Macaca mulatta: one gene and its partner. The protein of the gene in region 2 interacts with the protein of the main gene of each other region in a pairwise test. Links are inferred from orthologs where the notes say so. Each region holds a gene or a part of one and is shown on either strand. Other genes may lie near its edges.

Region 1 (7,779 bases), on a different chromosome or scaffold from region 2:
TCACTGCAAGCTCCGCCTCCCGGGTTCACGCCATTCTCCTGCCTCAGCCTCCTGAGTAGCTGGGACTACAGGCGCCCGCCACCGCGCCCGGCTAATTTTTTGTATTTTTAGTAGAAACGGGGTTTCACCGTGGTCTCGATCTCCTGACCTTGTGATCCGCCCGCCTCGGCCTCCCAAAGTGCTGGGATTACAGGCGTGAGCCACCGCGCCCGGCTTCCCACCAGCTTTAACTATGACATGTAAGCATTGTTTTTAAAACCAAATAGTTGGGGGGAGGGGGGAGGGATTGCATTGGTAGTTATACCTGATGTAAATGACGAGTTGATGGGTGCAGCACACCAGCATGGCACAAGTATACATATGTAACAAACCTGCATGTTATGCACATGTACCCTACAACTTAAAGTATAATAATAATAAATAAATTTTAAAAATAATAATAAAAATAAATAAATAAATAAATAAAACCAAATAGTTAACAAATAATATGCATATTTTATCCACTCTACATAGGAAAGCAAAGTTGAGCTATAGCTAAGTCGGTCTTTAAGTTCCATTTAAGGGCTGAATGTAACTTCTGATATCATAGAAGAAAGAAAAATGAACTAAGAGATCTGAAGAGCAGTATGCAGCCTGGACAACATAGTGAGACCTGTCTCTACAAAAAAAAAATAATAATAATAATAATAATAATAATAAATATCCTGGCATGGTAGCGTGCACACCTGTAGTCCCAGCTACTGGAGAGGCTAAGGTGAGAGGATCACTTCAGCCTGGGAAGTGGAGGCTACAGTGAGCCATGATCATGCCACTGCACTCCAGCCTGGGTAACAGAAGGAGACTCTGTCTCAAAGTAAAATAAAGAGCAATATGACCAAGCTACATGTGAAAGATTTGGGAGTCAAAAAGTTCTACACTTTGCTCTCCAATATGGTAACCACTAGCCACAAGTGGAAATTACAAGTAAATAAAACTTAGGCCGGGTGCGGTGGCTCACGCCTGTAATTCCAGCACTCTGGGAGCCCGAGGCGGGTGGATCACCTGAAGTCAGGAGTTCATGACCGGCCTGGCTAACACGGTGAAAACCCGTCTCTGCTAAAAAATATAAAAATTAGCCGGGCATGGTGGCAGGCGCCTGTAATCCCAGCTACTCGGGAGGCTGAGGCAGGAGAATCGCTTGAACCCGGGAGGCGGAGGCTGCAGTTAGCCGAGATGGCGCCACTGCACTGCAGCCTGGGACACAGAGCGAGAATCCATGTCAACTCGCCAGGCAGAGGTGGCAGTGAGCCGAGATTGCGCCACTGCACTCACTCTAGCCTAGGCGACAGAGCGAGACTCCATTCCAAAAAAAATAATTAAACTGTTGTTTCTCAGTCCACTAGTTACATTTCAAAGACAGTTATATGTGCCTTGTGGCTGCTAAACTGGACAGCACAGACAGAACCATTTCCAACACTTAAGAAAATTCCATTGGATGACACCGTTGGTAGCTACGTGATCTTATGCAAGTTACTTAATTTCTGTAAATCTCAATGCCCTTATTTGTAAAGAGTGCATAACACAACCTAAATCGAAAGACTATTCGAATTTTAATGAGATAATGTATAAAAGCACAGGAATTAGTGCTTAGTACACATCAGATACCCCAGAAAGGAGCTATTAACACAATCCTGTATTAAACTTTCGTCTATAATGGTGACCCTCGACAAGTCACTTTCCCTTCCGGGGCCTCATTTTCCAAACTGACAAGTGTGGGAAATTCTTCTAGTTAGCTTCTAATGAACCTATCAATCAAATGCTACCAGGTTAAATAAAGTATTGAGCAAAAGGAGCACAAACTCCTACTGAGTAAACTGTTACCTAGGCTCCAAGAGCCTAGAGCTTCCTCACAGATCCCAAGCATTCTTCAAGAAACCCCAGAAGACTGGCTCTCCAATATAACCCATCGTCTGATGTGCGCTATTTATAAAGTCTGTCTTAAAAGATTACCGGAATATCTTTCTGAAATTGTGTATACTGTAATTAGAAGCTACAACCTCCTATTTCATGATGAGATCCTGCAGTTTTAACATCTTTTAAATGAACACTATCTTTACAGATGAATTTTTTTTTATCTTAAAGTCATTTAAACCACAACACTTTAAAAGCACGTGAGTTTAAAAACAATTTTGTAATGACTGATTTTTTTTTTTTTAATCAACTATGCCTCATTCTCAGTCAGCCTGTGGGTGCCCCTCTGGTATCTAAACAAAGTGAGAATTGTACCTTCATGGGTGAGGTCCTTTCGCAGGGCCAGAAACATGCCCAAAGACTTTATCCTCGTTAACAGCTGCTCCCAGGGAGCCAGGAAATTTACTGATCCAGTAAATTTCAGAGTCAGCCTCCAATGAGGGGGAACCAAGGGCCCCCACAAAAGGCACAAAACCAGCGCTCCCGGCTGCTATCCACTGTGGGGCGTTGCCCAGGCACCTAGGGTCACAGCTTTAACTTAGGGGTGGAGGAGCAACTCCGGCAGCAGAAATCATTACAGAGCGAAGCAATTTTGCCCAAGGCCTGAAGCCTCCAAAAAAAAAGTATTATTCCAGAGCAGATTCCTTTTCTTCCGGGTCTGTCTGCTCCTTCTGACTCTTTGCCCACAACCACCGTGCCTCCCCATTCTCAATGCCCCACCTCCTGCCACATTTATTTAAAAAAAAAAAAAAAAAAAAAGAAGAACAAGGAGGAGGAGAAGGAAGGAAGGAAGGAAGGAAGGAAGGAAGGAAGGAAGGAAGGAAGGAAGGAAGGAAGGGAGGGAGGGAGGGAGGGAGGGAGGGAGGGAGGGAGAAGGAAGGAAAGAGAGAGAAGGAGAAAGAAAGAAAACGATTTTAAAAAGCATATTCCCTCTCCCTTAGCTTTCCCTAGGAAGGCCTGGAAACTGGAGGAAATTCAAATCAAATTAGTTGCACATTAAAAAATAAACAGACAAGCAATCAGGAGGTGCCCACCCAACAAAAGACCTCACCCGTTCCAAAATATGATTAAGCCTGGGAGGGAAGAGGGGGAGGGGGACTAGAAACCAGCAGGGATGGAGAGATAAACCTGTGGATTTTTGGCCCCAGCGTTGACCCATTGCGGCCAAATTCTAAATTTTGTTTAAAGAAAATGCTGAGTCGAGGAGAAAAGAAAATAAAAAGTTATAACTTTTAAGGAAGTCTGCAAACGGCAATGTCTGAATAAAATGCCATTGCTTCCCTTCGTCTGGGATGGCAGGGTGGGAGCTGAGATTCCAAAAGCTCCAACTCCGACCGCGCACTCCTGGAAGCCTCCCCGCCAAAGGCGCCGCCGGGCGGCACAGCCCAGTCTCCCGAGACGGCGGGTCCGGGTCCTCTGGCTCCCACGGGACGCCAGGACCCGGACCTCTGGGAAAGTTCGCGGGCACAGCCCGAGGCCCCACTTTCTGCCGAGAGTGACAGGCCCTTCCCACGCCTGCCGGCCCCAGCCCAGCCGCGGGCACCAGACGGTCCGCGCGGCCTCTCCTGGCCGCCTCGGGGAGCAGATTCCGCCCGCCCGCCCCACCCCCGGCCGAGGCGCCCCTCGGGGTGACGGACTGACCGGAGCTCCGCTGGCCCACACACCGGGTCGCCCGCTCCTTCCCGCCGCGCCCCGCTCCCCCGCCCGAGCTTCCAGCCGCCAGGCTCGCCAAGTCCGGCCGCGGCCGCCGGTTACCGCCCCCAGCCCGGGGGGAGCCCGGGGGGCAGGACGGGGAGGGAGGACGTGGCGCGCTCGGAGGTGGCCAGCAGCGGGGCGGGGAGTGTCCCGGAGAGGCCCAGCCGGGGGCGGGGGAGCCAGGCCGGCGCGGGCTCGGGACCCTCCCCGAGAGCATCCCCGGGTTCGAGGCCCCCGACTGCCCCCGCCGGCGCGGAGAGGCGGCCCCAACTTCCAGCCCCACTTCGCACACCCGCCCTCTTTCCTCCACCATATGGAAATCTACAGCCTCAGAAAGTGACACGTCGAAGATTCCTCGGCCTCGCCGCCCGCCCTCCCCCTCCTGGGCAGCGTTCCTGCCGCGGAGATTCCGGGAGGGGGAGCGGATTCCTCGGACAAAATCTGCTGGGAAGGCTGGGGGTGGGGGGAGGCCGCGAGCCACTGCCCCAATTTTTTTTTTTAAGAGGAATCTACCCGTTTCTTTCACTCCTGCAAACCCTGAGGCAGGCAGCACAGGCGGGGAACCCGATCCCAGAAAGGCGGGGGCCGCCCCCTCCCGGGTCCCGTGTTCCCGGGGTGCCCAGGCGAGCGCGGGGCGCCCCAGCACTCCGGCGCCAAGTTTTTGCCGGGAAGCCCAGGGCGCTCCCGGGACAGGGACGCACTTTGGCGGACTCGGCATCAGGCCGGGGCTTTCCAGTGCACCGGACCCGGCGATTGCGCGTGGGGTCCGGGTCTCCTCCAGTTCCCGGCTCCTGCACGCCTTACCTTCCCTAGGGCTGAAACGCGGGGCTCCGGGCGCACCACACACCGGGTCGCCCACGCCTTCCCAGCCGGCAGCCCAAAGGATTCCTGACGCCCCCTTGCTGCTCCCGCCGCCGCCGCTCTCCTCCTCCTCCAGCCGCCGCCGCCGCCGCCGCCGCTCAAATAACTACCAGGAGGGTTTGATGGGGGATTCCGCCATGTCAATGATGTCGGGACCACATGGGGATTTGGGGCCCGCCCACTACCGTAAACCGCCGAGTATACCTGCCGCCACAATCGCAGGCTCGCAGAAGCTGTTGTCCCCGGCCCTGCCTAGCTAAGCAGAAACTCCTTTTGGTTCAGCCAGACTAAAGAAACCTGACGCTTAGGGAGCTAACAACTCCTGAATGGCGAGGGCTGCCGGTTCTCCAGATCGCCAAAATAATGTAAAGGCAATGTTTACTCAGTGATAATTAAGCCTAAGACTGACTTTTTTTCATTTACACATATATTTCCCTTTTTGTTGTTAACCCCCACAGCAACCTTGTGAGCTATATTACTCGCCTATTTCCCACAGCATTTTGTTCATACAGCTAACATAGTATGAGCAAATTTTATTACACTTAAGTTAAAATCTCTACTTCCTCTTTCTTCCTTTTGTTTTGTATTTTGTTGTTTTGGGGACCGCAGGCACTGGGCAAGCATGAGCCACCACACCCTTTTTTTTCTGGGGGGGGGGAGAATAGAGAGGGGGTCTCAATAGGTTGCCCAGGCTGGTCTGGAACTCTGGAACTCAGGTGATCCTCCCGCCTCGGCCTCCCAAAATGTTGAGATTACAGGCGTGAGCCACGTCAGCCAGCCTTATTTCCCAATGCGTTTCTCAAGGATAGAGACTGTTGCTTACTTTTATCTTTGTATCTGTAAAGGACAAGGACCACAATAGGACTCATTAAATAACTGTTGAGTTTATATTAAGTCAAATGTAATGTATTTCTGTTGTACAGTCTCAAAGAGGTTAACAGACTGCATCCCTTGCCACCCCTCAAATTATTCAGGAGACAAGAGAGCTAAAGTTAGCCTAGAGAAGCCCCTGCCATCCATAGCTGTCCAGGTATTCTGAATATCAGCCTCAACTATTAAGCTACAAAGGAGCATTCAGGGAGTCACCAGAGACAATGTATTACTTTTGTCAACCTAAAAAAAATAATAACAGTACATAATACTCTATTAAGTCTAAAGAACACTGAGAAATAGCTCCTTCCCTTGTACAATTTGCCATTCTTTGGGGGATTTTTTTTTTTTTCTTGGAAGCAATGGTGAGCCCAGAGAAATGGGGACCTGTCTCCTAAATGGCTTATTTCCTGTGGAGCTCCTCAAAGGGGAACTTGAAGCAATCCTTCTATAACACAACTCCTTCTATAATACAACTCCTTCTATAACACAATTCTGGGTTATAGTCCTGTATGAGAAGGGTGGGGGGAAAGGCAGTAGTTCCTTAGTGCCAATAGTGTACAGTCCAATAGATCTCATTTGCATCCAAATGCCTTCTCTGACTCCGGACTCTTTGGCTTCCTCAGGTGCCATGCCTTCAGCACAGCTCATCACTCATGGCTCCAGAAGGTACCTGTGTCCCTTTGTATGTGCCTTCCGTCTGAAATATACTTCTTCCCTATTTAAGATCATTTACTCCTTCTTGATCTCCGGCTAAGACCACTACCTCATTTCCTCCCTACAATCTCATACCTCTTTTCCCCACGATCTTACAATCCTTGTCAGTTCTCACATTGCTCTGAAGTTAGTTTTTTGTTTGTTTGTTTGTTTTTTGTTTTTTTGTTTTTTGTTTTTGTTTTTGTGTTTTTGAGGCTAGAGAGCAGTAGCACGATAGCAGCTCACTGCATGGTCAAGCTCCTAGGCTCAAGTAATTCTCCCACCTCAGCCTCCCAAGTAGCTGGAACTACAAGTGTGTGCCATCACACCTGGCTAATTTTTTTTTGTTTGTTTTTCAAAGAGACAGGCTCCCACTTTGATGCTGAGGCTGGTCTCAGACTCCTGAACTCAAGCAATCCTCCTGCCCCAGGCTCCCAAAGTGCTGGGATTACAGGCATGAGCCACTGCACCCAGCCTGAAATTATTCTTTATCTCTTCCACTTGACTGAGTTTTGTTCATGTTTGTATCCCTAGTATCAACCTAGAATTCTGCTTCGAATAGAAGACCCCCTTATGTTTGATGAATGAATTAATTGTAAAGTATGCAGAAGAATCTGAATGACTAGGTCAGTGAGCAAACTTCAGAGTGTGAAAGGTCAAATTCAGGTTGAAGGACAAGCTTGGCAGAGGAGGTAAAAGTAGGCAAGAGAAATTTGGAGGACAAATTTATTTATTCCTGTTTCTTCCACTAGATTGAATTTCTTCTTATTAGGAAGAAAAGAAATCAATGTACATATGATGCTTTATAATTTCACATGCATGTTCATATATGATAGTGTTTCATTCATCTTCTTTGCCCTAACACCTAACACCAGTTTTGGCACAGAAAATAAGCCCATTAAATGTTTGCAAAATGAGAGGAAGTATGGTACAGTGGAGAGAGTATAGAATATAATGAGAGAAAAGTCAGTGATGTTGGGCATAAAGTTCTCTGTACCTGAATTTTCTTATTTGTTAAATTGTGATCTTTAATAAACCTCTGGCCAAGGTTGTATAAAAAACTCAAGCACCTGGTACTCAGTAAATAAATATTGGTTACTCCTTGAATTAATGAACAAATGAGTAAATGAATTAATAAAGATATCTTTCTTAAAAGAATTAATAGGACAGAATTGGAAGCTTCAGAGAAGAAGGTGGAATTTGTGATAGAGGGCTCTCACCTACACTTTGAGGGATTTCAATTTAATACAGTGAGAATACTGTGGGATTATTGAGGCATGAAGTAATTGAAATAGGTTTCAAGGTTATCTTAGCAGCAGGATGTAGAACAAGGTTCATGTCAGAGATGCATGCCCTGAACCTACTTTGGAAATGATGAAACTTACACCAGAGTCATGGTTCTGGGAATAGGAAGAAGGACCTCAACCTAAGGCAATGAGTATGACTCTCTGGTGTTGACAACCTGTGTCATCTGCTGCTTTAGGTCCCAAATTATGAAACTGTAGTCATGGGTAAAACTTTGCTCCAAAAGCAGCTTAAGATTTCCTCAAATACAAAAGTTAACATCCAAATGAAGACGCCTAGAAGTTAAGGCCTATAACAAAATACAGAGACTCTTAAACCCATCTATCACCTGTGCAATGTAGGCTGAATCCAATTTTTGAAAAGATTCTTAGTCATACTTCATCTCCAATACTTTATATCAAA
Region 2 (7,450 bases):
TTTTTATTTCTGTGTAGTATTCCTTTTCACAAATACACCACTTTTTCTGTTGATAGACATCTGGGTTGTTTTCAGGGTTAAGCTATTAAGAATAAAGTTGCTGTGAACATGTTTTTGGTGAACATATGCAATCATTTCTGTTGTGTACATATCATAGAGTGGAATTTACCTGGTCATAGGTTAGGGGTGACATGTTTATCTTTAGTAGGTACTGCTAGTTTTCCAGTGGCTCAATTAATTTACACTCTCACTAGCAATAATTAAGTTATCCACATCCACTGGGCAAGGTGGCTCACAGCTATAATCCCAGCACTTTGGGAGGCTGAGGCAGGTAGATCACTTGAGGTCAGGAGTTTGAGAGCAACTTGGCCAACGTGGTGAAAACCGGTCTCTACCAAAAATACTAAAAAAAATTAGCCAGGTGTGGTGGTGCATTCCTGTAAACCCAGCTACTCAGGAGGTTGAGGCACAAGAGTTGCTTCAACGTGGGAGGTGGAGGTTGCAGTGAGTCGAGATCCCGCCACCGCACTGTAGCTTGGGCGACAGAGCAAGACTATCTCAAAACAAACAAACAAACAAACAAAGAAAAAAACAAAAGAGTTATCCACATCCTTGCCAACTCTTACTGGCAATTTGGACATCTTCTTTTGTGAAGTGACTGTTCAAATCTTTTGCCTCCTTTTATTTTATTTTTTTGAGACGGAGTTTCACTCTTGTTGCCCAGGCTGGAGTGCAATGGTGCAATCTCAGCTTACCACAACTTCCACGTCCCAGGTTCAAGTGATTCTCCTGCCTCAGCCTCCCGAGTAGCTAGGATTACAGGCATGCGCTGCCACGCCCAGCTTATTTTGTATTTTTAGGAGACGGGGTTTCTCCATGTCGCTCGGGCTGGTCTTGAACTCCAGACCTCAGGTGATCCACTCACCTCAGCCTCCCAAAGTGCTGGAATTACAGGCATGAGCCACCACGCCTGGCCTTTGCTTCCTTTTAAATTGGATTCTTTCTTTTACTCTGCAGAAATACTTGATATATTCTGAATATGAGTTAGATATATATATGTATTGTAAATATCTTCTCCCAGTCTGTGGAATGCCTATTTGTTATGAAATCATGTTTTTTGATGAAAAGAAGTTCCTAATTACAGTGGAGACCAATTATTCATTTTTTAAATGTTTAGTACTTTTTATGGGCAACTACTTTTTTCAGGGAGGGTCAGCAAACTCTAAAAATTTCCTCTCTTGTAAAAACAATTTTTTTTAATGTTACCTTTACCTACTTCTAAGATCTATTTGGGATGGCTCACAATAAAACCATAACCCCATTAAAATAAGTTATAAAACAATCATTACCACCACTACCAAGGGAAAGGGAAGGTATAGAAGTTGTAATGAGAAAATGGAGAACTGTTAACAATGACAGGAGCCTCAGGCAAAAGGAAGCTACTGAAATTGAGACTAAAACTTAGCTATCAGCTTCTTGGCAAAATAAAATAAGATTTCTTAAGTCCCAAAAACAAAAACAAAGGACAGACTGAACTTGGAAAGTTTCTTTCTTTTTCATTATAATATTACTTATTAATACTTTAAATTTACTTTTCTTCACTATACACCATGATTCTTCATGGGAGGTTTCTTGACATAAAAAGGAACCACTTCGGGCCAGGCATGGTGGCTCACACCTATAATCCTAGCACTTTGGAAGGCTGAGGTGGGAGGATCGCTTGAGCCTAGGAATTTGAGACCAGCCTGGACAACATGGTGAGATCCTGTCTCTATCAAACACAAAAGCAAAAACAAAAAGGAACCACTTTTTTAATGTGGTTACCTCTTGATTATTCAATTTCATAAACAGGGTAGAGAATTAAGAACAGTGGGTAAACTTAAAAGCTACTTGTATTTCATTTTAAAATGCACTTTCACATGAATGAGGCCAAAGTCAAATTTATAACACTCTAAATAACAAAATTTAAACTGTGGAGACCTGATTGAGGAGAAATTGGGAATTTCATGCAGGTAAGTCCAATATGAGATTTGCAACACTCAAATAATTAAATTTCAAAATGGAGATCTCACTCGAAGAAACTGGCAACTGAGAGTGCAAAGCACCAAGCACATTTTAGCTGTTTTTGTTTTGAGACGGAGTCTCACTTGTTCACCCAAGCTGGAGTACAATGGTGCGATCCTGGCTCACTGCAAACTCTGCTTCCCGGGTTCAAGTGATTCTCCTGCCTCAGTCCCCTGAGTAGCTGGGATTACAGGTGCGCACCACCACGCCTGGCTGATTTTTGTATTTTTGGTAGAGATGGGGTTTCACATGTTGGTCAGGCTGGTCTTGAACTCCTGACCTCGTGATCCGCCCACCTTGGCCTCCCAAAGTGCTGGGATTACAGGCATGAGCCACCACGCCCGGCCTCAGCTGTTTTTTTTAAATTAATTATTACTATTTTTTATAGAGACGGAGTTTGATCACGTTGCCCAACCTGGTCTAGAACTCTTGGGCTCAAGCAATTCTCCCACCTCAGCCTCCCAAACAGTTCGGATTAGTGGCATGAGCCACTGTGCTGGGTCCAGATTTAGGTTTTATATCATTTCTAAGTTTGCCACATACTAGATTCACACTTACCCTGCTTATAAGACTAATAAAGCAACAAAAAAGTTAAACTGGCGCCGGGCATGGTGGCTTATGCCTATAATCCTAGCACTTTGGGAGGCTGAGGTGGACAGATCACTTGAGGCCAGGAGTTCAAGACCAGCCTGGGCAACATGATGAAACCCTGTCTCTACTAAAATACAAAAAGAAAAAGAAAAAAGAAAAAAAATTAGCTGGGTGTGGTGGCGCACACCTGTACTCCCAGCTACTTGGGAGGCTGAGGCAGAAGAATCACTTCAGCCCAGGAGGTGGAGGCTGCAGTGAGCCAAGATCGTGCCACGGCACTGCAGCCTGGGCTACAGGGAGACTGTCACCTCCCCCCGACAAAAAAAGAAAAAAAAGTTAAACTAGCAACTACCCCTTGTCAACCCCATTTTCATCCATGAAAACGTTAGGATTATAGGATAAGCGCATGCGACAGCCACTGACAATTCTTGGTACAAAAAACTGATGCAAATGGTCCACACCACTTTTGAAAATAAATTTAAAAGTCCTCAAAAAATGGCACGTGGTTCAAGACTTCAGTTTCTCAAAGACAGAAATTTTTGTCTGTTCCACCGTTCTCTTTTGCTTCTCCTAAACAAGTGATACGTATCTATATTATGACAATATTTCAACCAGAATTTTTTTTTTTTTTTTTTTTTTTGAGACAAAGTTTCCCTCTTTTTGCCCAGGCTGGAGTGCAATGGCGCGATCTCGGCTCACCACAACCTCCGCCTCCCGGGATCAAGCGATTCTCCTGCCTCAGCCTCCCGAGTAGCTGGGATTACAGGCATGCGCCACCACCCCGGCTAATTTTGTATTTTTAGTAGAGACGCGGTTTCTCCATGTTGGTCAGGCTGGTCTTGAACTCCCGACCTCAGGTGATCCACCTGCCTCGGCCTCCCAAAGTGCTGGGATTACAGGCATGAGCCACCGCGCCCGGCTCAACCAGATTTTTTTAACAAATACTTTAGGGTTTCATCACAACCTTTACTTCTACTATAAAACAGCATAAGAAGCTATTATTACAGCTGTTTGACAGTTGGGGAAACTATGACATACAACGATGAAGTAATGTGCCCAACGTCTGAGTCACAGAAAAACTGAAACACATATCCTACTCAACTCTTTTTATGTTCTCTAGCAGCTATTTCCTTTCTTCCTGGCATTAGCAAAACAAGCCGACACTGTGTAGGTAAAGGTAACCACAAACTTTTTATTAAAGTAGTAAATTTAGGCCAGGCGCAGTGGCTCAGGCCTGTAATTCCAGCACTTTGGGAGGCCGACGTGGGTGGATCACCTGAGGTCAGGAGTTTGAGACCAGCCTGGCCAATATGGTGAAACTATATCTCTACTAAAGATACAAAATTAGCCGGGCATGGTGGCACACGCCTGTAATCCCAGCTACTCGGGAGGCTGAGGCAGAAGAATCGCTTGAACCCGGGAGGCGGAGGTTGCAGTGAGCCGACATCGCACCACTGCACTCCAGCCTGGGCGACAAAGCGAGACTCTGTCTCAAAACAAAACAAAACCAGTAGGAAATATAAATGAAACAAATTTAAAAAGACCCCTTCAACAGAGTTCGTTACAGGAATGAACACATGCTGTTCCACGGTCAACCCTCTGCTAGGTAAGCTCCTCCCCTCACCCCAGTTTCTTCAGCTGCTGAAAAATTTTCTTCCCACTGCGATCCTTTAAGATTACTGTAGTTATTTCTCCCCAGAAAAAGGAGACAATTTCACTGTCTTCTAATCCAGAATCACTTTTCTCTTTAAATAGGTTATCTCTTTCCAATAGCTTGCTTTTCTGATGACAGCAACTTCCCAAGACTTCCCCAGATAGTCCCCATAGGCTCTAGAAGCAGCTGCCACTTTTCTCTAAACACCAATTGCAGCCCTTGGTTCCCAGCCCCCGTCCCTGGAGTGCGTGCTCTCCTCCCCACCACCCTACCCCACCGCGGCCTCAGGCCCTCCCCCCGCGGCGTCGGCAGCTCGTGCTCACCTCGGCCCCTGACAGGAAGGGGTGCGAAGGCCCTGTGATAGTCAGGTAATTGTCATTTCCTCCGGGAAACTGGAAACCAAAAGAAAGCCGCGGGGATAAGTTAGGGGGAGCAGGGAATTAGCTTGGAGCGATGGCTTCTGACCCCGACATTCTGACAACACTCCCCAAACCCCGCGCTCTCTCCTCTCCCGTCAGTCGCCTCTCCACCCGGCTTCCCGTCTCTGCTTCAACCCGGTCGGCCGCGTTCTCTCGCCAGCCTTCTTAGCTATCAGGTTCCTACCTCCATCTTCACACAACCGCTCCCACCGTCTCAGACCCTCATCGCTCCCACCGCCCCCACTGGTCTCGGAACTGCCGTCACTTCCGCAAGGACGTGCGTTACTCTCTGCTCATTGGAAGGAGCGCCGTGGGGGCTGCAGCGAGTCAGGCGGTGGCCTATCGCCCCCTGGAGCTTGGAGGGATAATGGCATGTAGAAGTACTAGAGGTATCCCTGGAGGTGGCGTTGGGTACTCCCGACCTAAGGAGGATTTCTGGGGAGAGCAATAGAGACGTGATCTGGGCTAGAGGAGCCGGAGAGGGTGGGCGGCCGGGAAGAAGAAGATCGGTAGATTGAGTGGCTAGAGAGGTTGGAGGTAAGTGGCTGTAGAAGTCGGGCGGACCCGGAACCCAGAGGACGCGACATCATGACTTATGCTTATCTCTTCAAGTATATCATCATCGGAGACACAGGTAACCCTCAGGTTGTTCGCCTTCAAGGCTGGGGCGGACGTCCGAAGCTCCCAAATTGGGTGGCGGGGGCGGGGCTCACTTTGTGGGCTGGGCGATTCGAGACGGGCGGGGCGGTTCGGGGCGGCCAGGGGCGGGGCTCGGGGACCCCCCGCTTCTCTGGTCCGGGAAGTCCAGAGTCCGGGTAGTGTTCCAACGCTACGTGACTCTGGGAGCGTGTTTTCTCTTTCAGGTGTGGGGAAGTCATGTCTCCTCCTGCAGTTTACAGATAAGCGGTTCCAGCCTGTCCACGACCTCACAATAGGTAAGTGCATCTACTTGTTCCAGAACAGATAAAACCTGACTAGCTAAATTGCTAAAGTGGAAAGTTAGCAGCCTTCAGTGTTCAAAGTAAAAAGTTATCCCTCACTACTTTAAACTAGTCCAAAGTTATGTTAATGAAGTGGTTAATCAAACGTTGATATGTGGCGAGTAGTGTAAGGGAGAGTATATAATTGAAAGGTAACTTTTTGGAGTGTGAGGTAGAGACTTGTCATATAATTTTTTTCAAGTACAATTTTTTATGTTTATGGAAAATCCCACGAAAGCATAACTGCTTATTTGTAAACTCATCTGTGCTTTGCAGTAAATTAATACCAGCCTTACTTTTAAAAAGTAAACACCAATACATGGACATTTTTTATATTGGTGAAGAAGCAAATTGAAGAGTCATCCCTGCCTTAGAATTAATAGGCAAATAAAACTAAAAACTTTCCTTTTAAATAAAACAGTGTGTTAAACAGTTCCTCATACCCACTGGGGATCCTGGAAAATATTAACATTTCCCACACATTTGTGATAAGGCATAGCCTGAAGGGGCTTTTAGCTACCCCCTCTTCATTATCTCCATAACCCCAGTCCAAATAAACAACATATATGAAACTAGCTTTGTTGCCATGCAAATGCAGTTTCTAAATAAAACTCCTACATCCCCATTCTTACAATATTGCTACTTCCAAGTCACACCTGTGTGGAAATCTGAAGCTACCACTGTTCTAACGGATTTATTTAGAGTCAAATAATTGATGGGGTTAGAAAAGGATTTAGAAGGCAGTATCAACCAAAAGGTATTTTAAAGGGAATATTGAGTGAATTCTTACTTTGTGATAGGGGCTAATGATACAATGCTTAACAAGGCAACAATGCTTAATTGTTCCTCTGGCAATTATTGGAGATATAAAATGTATTGTTAAAAAAAATTAGGTGGGCGTTGTGGCGTGCGCCTGTAAGGTACATACTGGGGAGGCTGAGGCAGGAGAATCACTTGAACTCGGGAGGTGGAGGCAGTAGTGAGCCGAGATCGCACCACTGCACTCCAGACTGGGTGACAAAGCAAGAGACTCCATCTCAAAAAAAAAAAAAAAAAAAGTATTGTTTCTGAGAACCTATTTCTTAGGCTCTTTTCTTAAAGAAAAAAATCTGGAATTACAAAAAAATAAATATTGTTTTAAATAGAGACTAGAGAGTGACCGAGAAAGTGTCAGGAAGCATTTCCAGAATTTTTAGGAGTTTTTTGGAAAAGTTACAAAACTAAATGTTACCTAATCAAATTTAAGCATTAACTGACATTGCTAAAAAATTACCCTTTTAAATTTGACTTCTTAATTGGTTTTGTTTTCCCATATGTGCTTTTTGGTTACATTCCTGAGGTCATTAGAGCACAATTTTTTAATTCCGGAAGGGAAATGAAGAACCTTGAGAAACACAAAGTTAATTGGAGCAAATAGGCAGCAATAATGGAATTAGTGGCATTGAGTTCAGACTAAAGGATGGGTATAACACATTGAGGAAAGGCAGGAACCTCCTCCCACTCCACATGGCTGCTGTTCATGAGAATCACATTCTTTCTCTTGGTCTTTACCAACAGGTGTGGAGTTTGGAGCTCGTATGGTCAACATTGATGGAAAACAAATCAAACTGCAAATCTGGGATACGGTGAGAGTACAAAATAATTTAGTCTCTGACCAACATCCAAGTATAGTAAGAAAAGCCAATGCAAAGGAAAGGGGCAATGAGGGTGGGACTAATAGTGGGGATAAAATAGGGGAAAGG

The links. The genes of interacting proteins can lie anywhere in the genome.
Region 1: the proteins of TOX4 (region 2) and FNDC3B interact in binary tests that used the Homo sapiens proteins (3 or more experiments, as listed by UniProt). The two-hybrid records come from large-scale screens. The link is inferred for Macaca mulatta from reciprocal best matches to the Homo sapiens genes TOX4 and FNDC3B.

The regions. Positions count from the first base shown.
Region 1 is NC_133407.1:83,729,203-83,736,981, reverse strand, and holds the start of FNDC3B (fibronectin type III domain-containing protein 3B), read right to left. Parts: upstream 4,652-7,779; 5' UTR 4,450-4,651; intron 3,969-4,449; exon of another isoform or gene 3,592-3,968; intron 2,793-3,591; exon of another isoform or gene 2,266-2,792; intron 1-2,265. UniProt on the Homo sapiens protein: May be a positive regulator of adipogenesis.
Region 2 is NC_133412.1:94,336,847-94,344,296, reverse strand, and holds the start of TOX4 (TOX high mobility group box family member 4), read right to left. Parts: upstream 4,958-7,450; 5' UTR 4,919-4,957; coding exon 4,913-4,918; intron 4,702-4,912; coding exon 4,633-4,701; intron 1-4,632. Other genes in the region: RAB2B (ras-related protein Rab-2B), read left to right, coding at 5,317-5,362, 5,592-5,663, 7,266-7,333. UniProt on the Homo sapiens protein: Transcription factor that modulates cell fate reprogramming from the somatic state to the pluripotent and neuronal fate. In liver, controls the expression of hormone-regulated gluconeogenic genes such as G6PC1 and PCK1.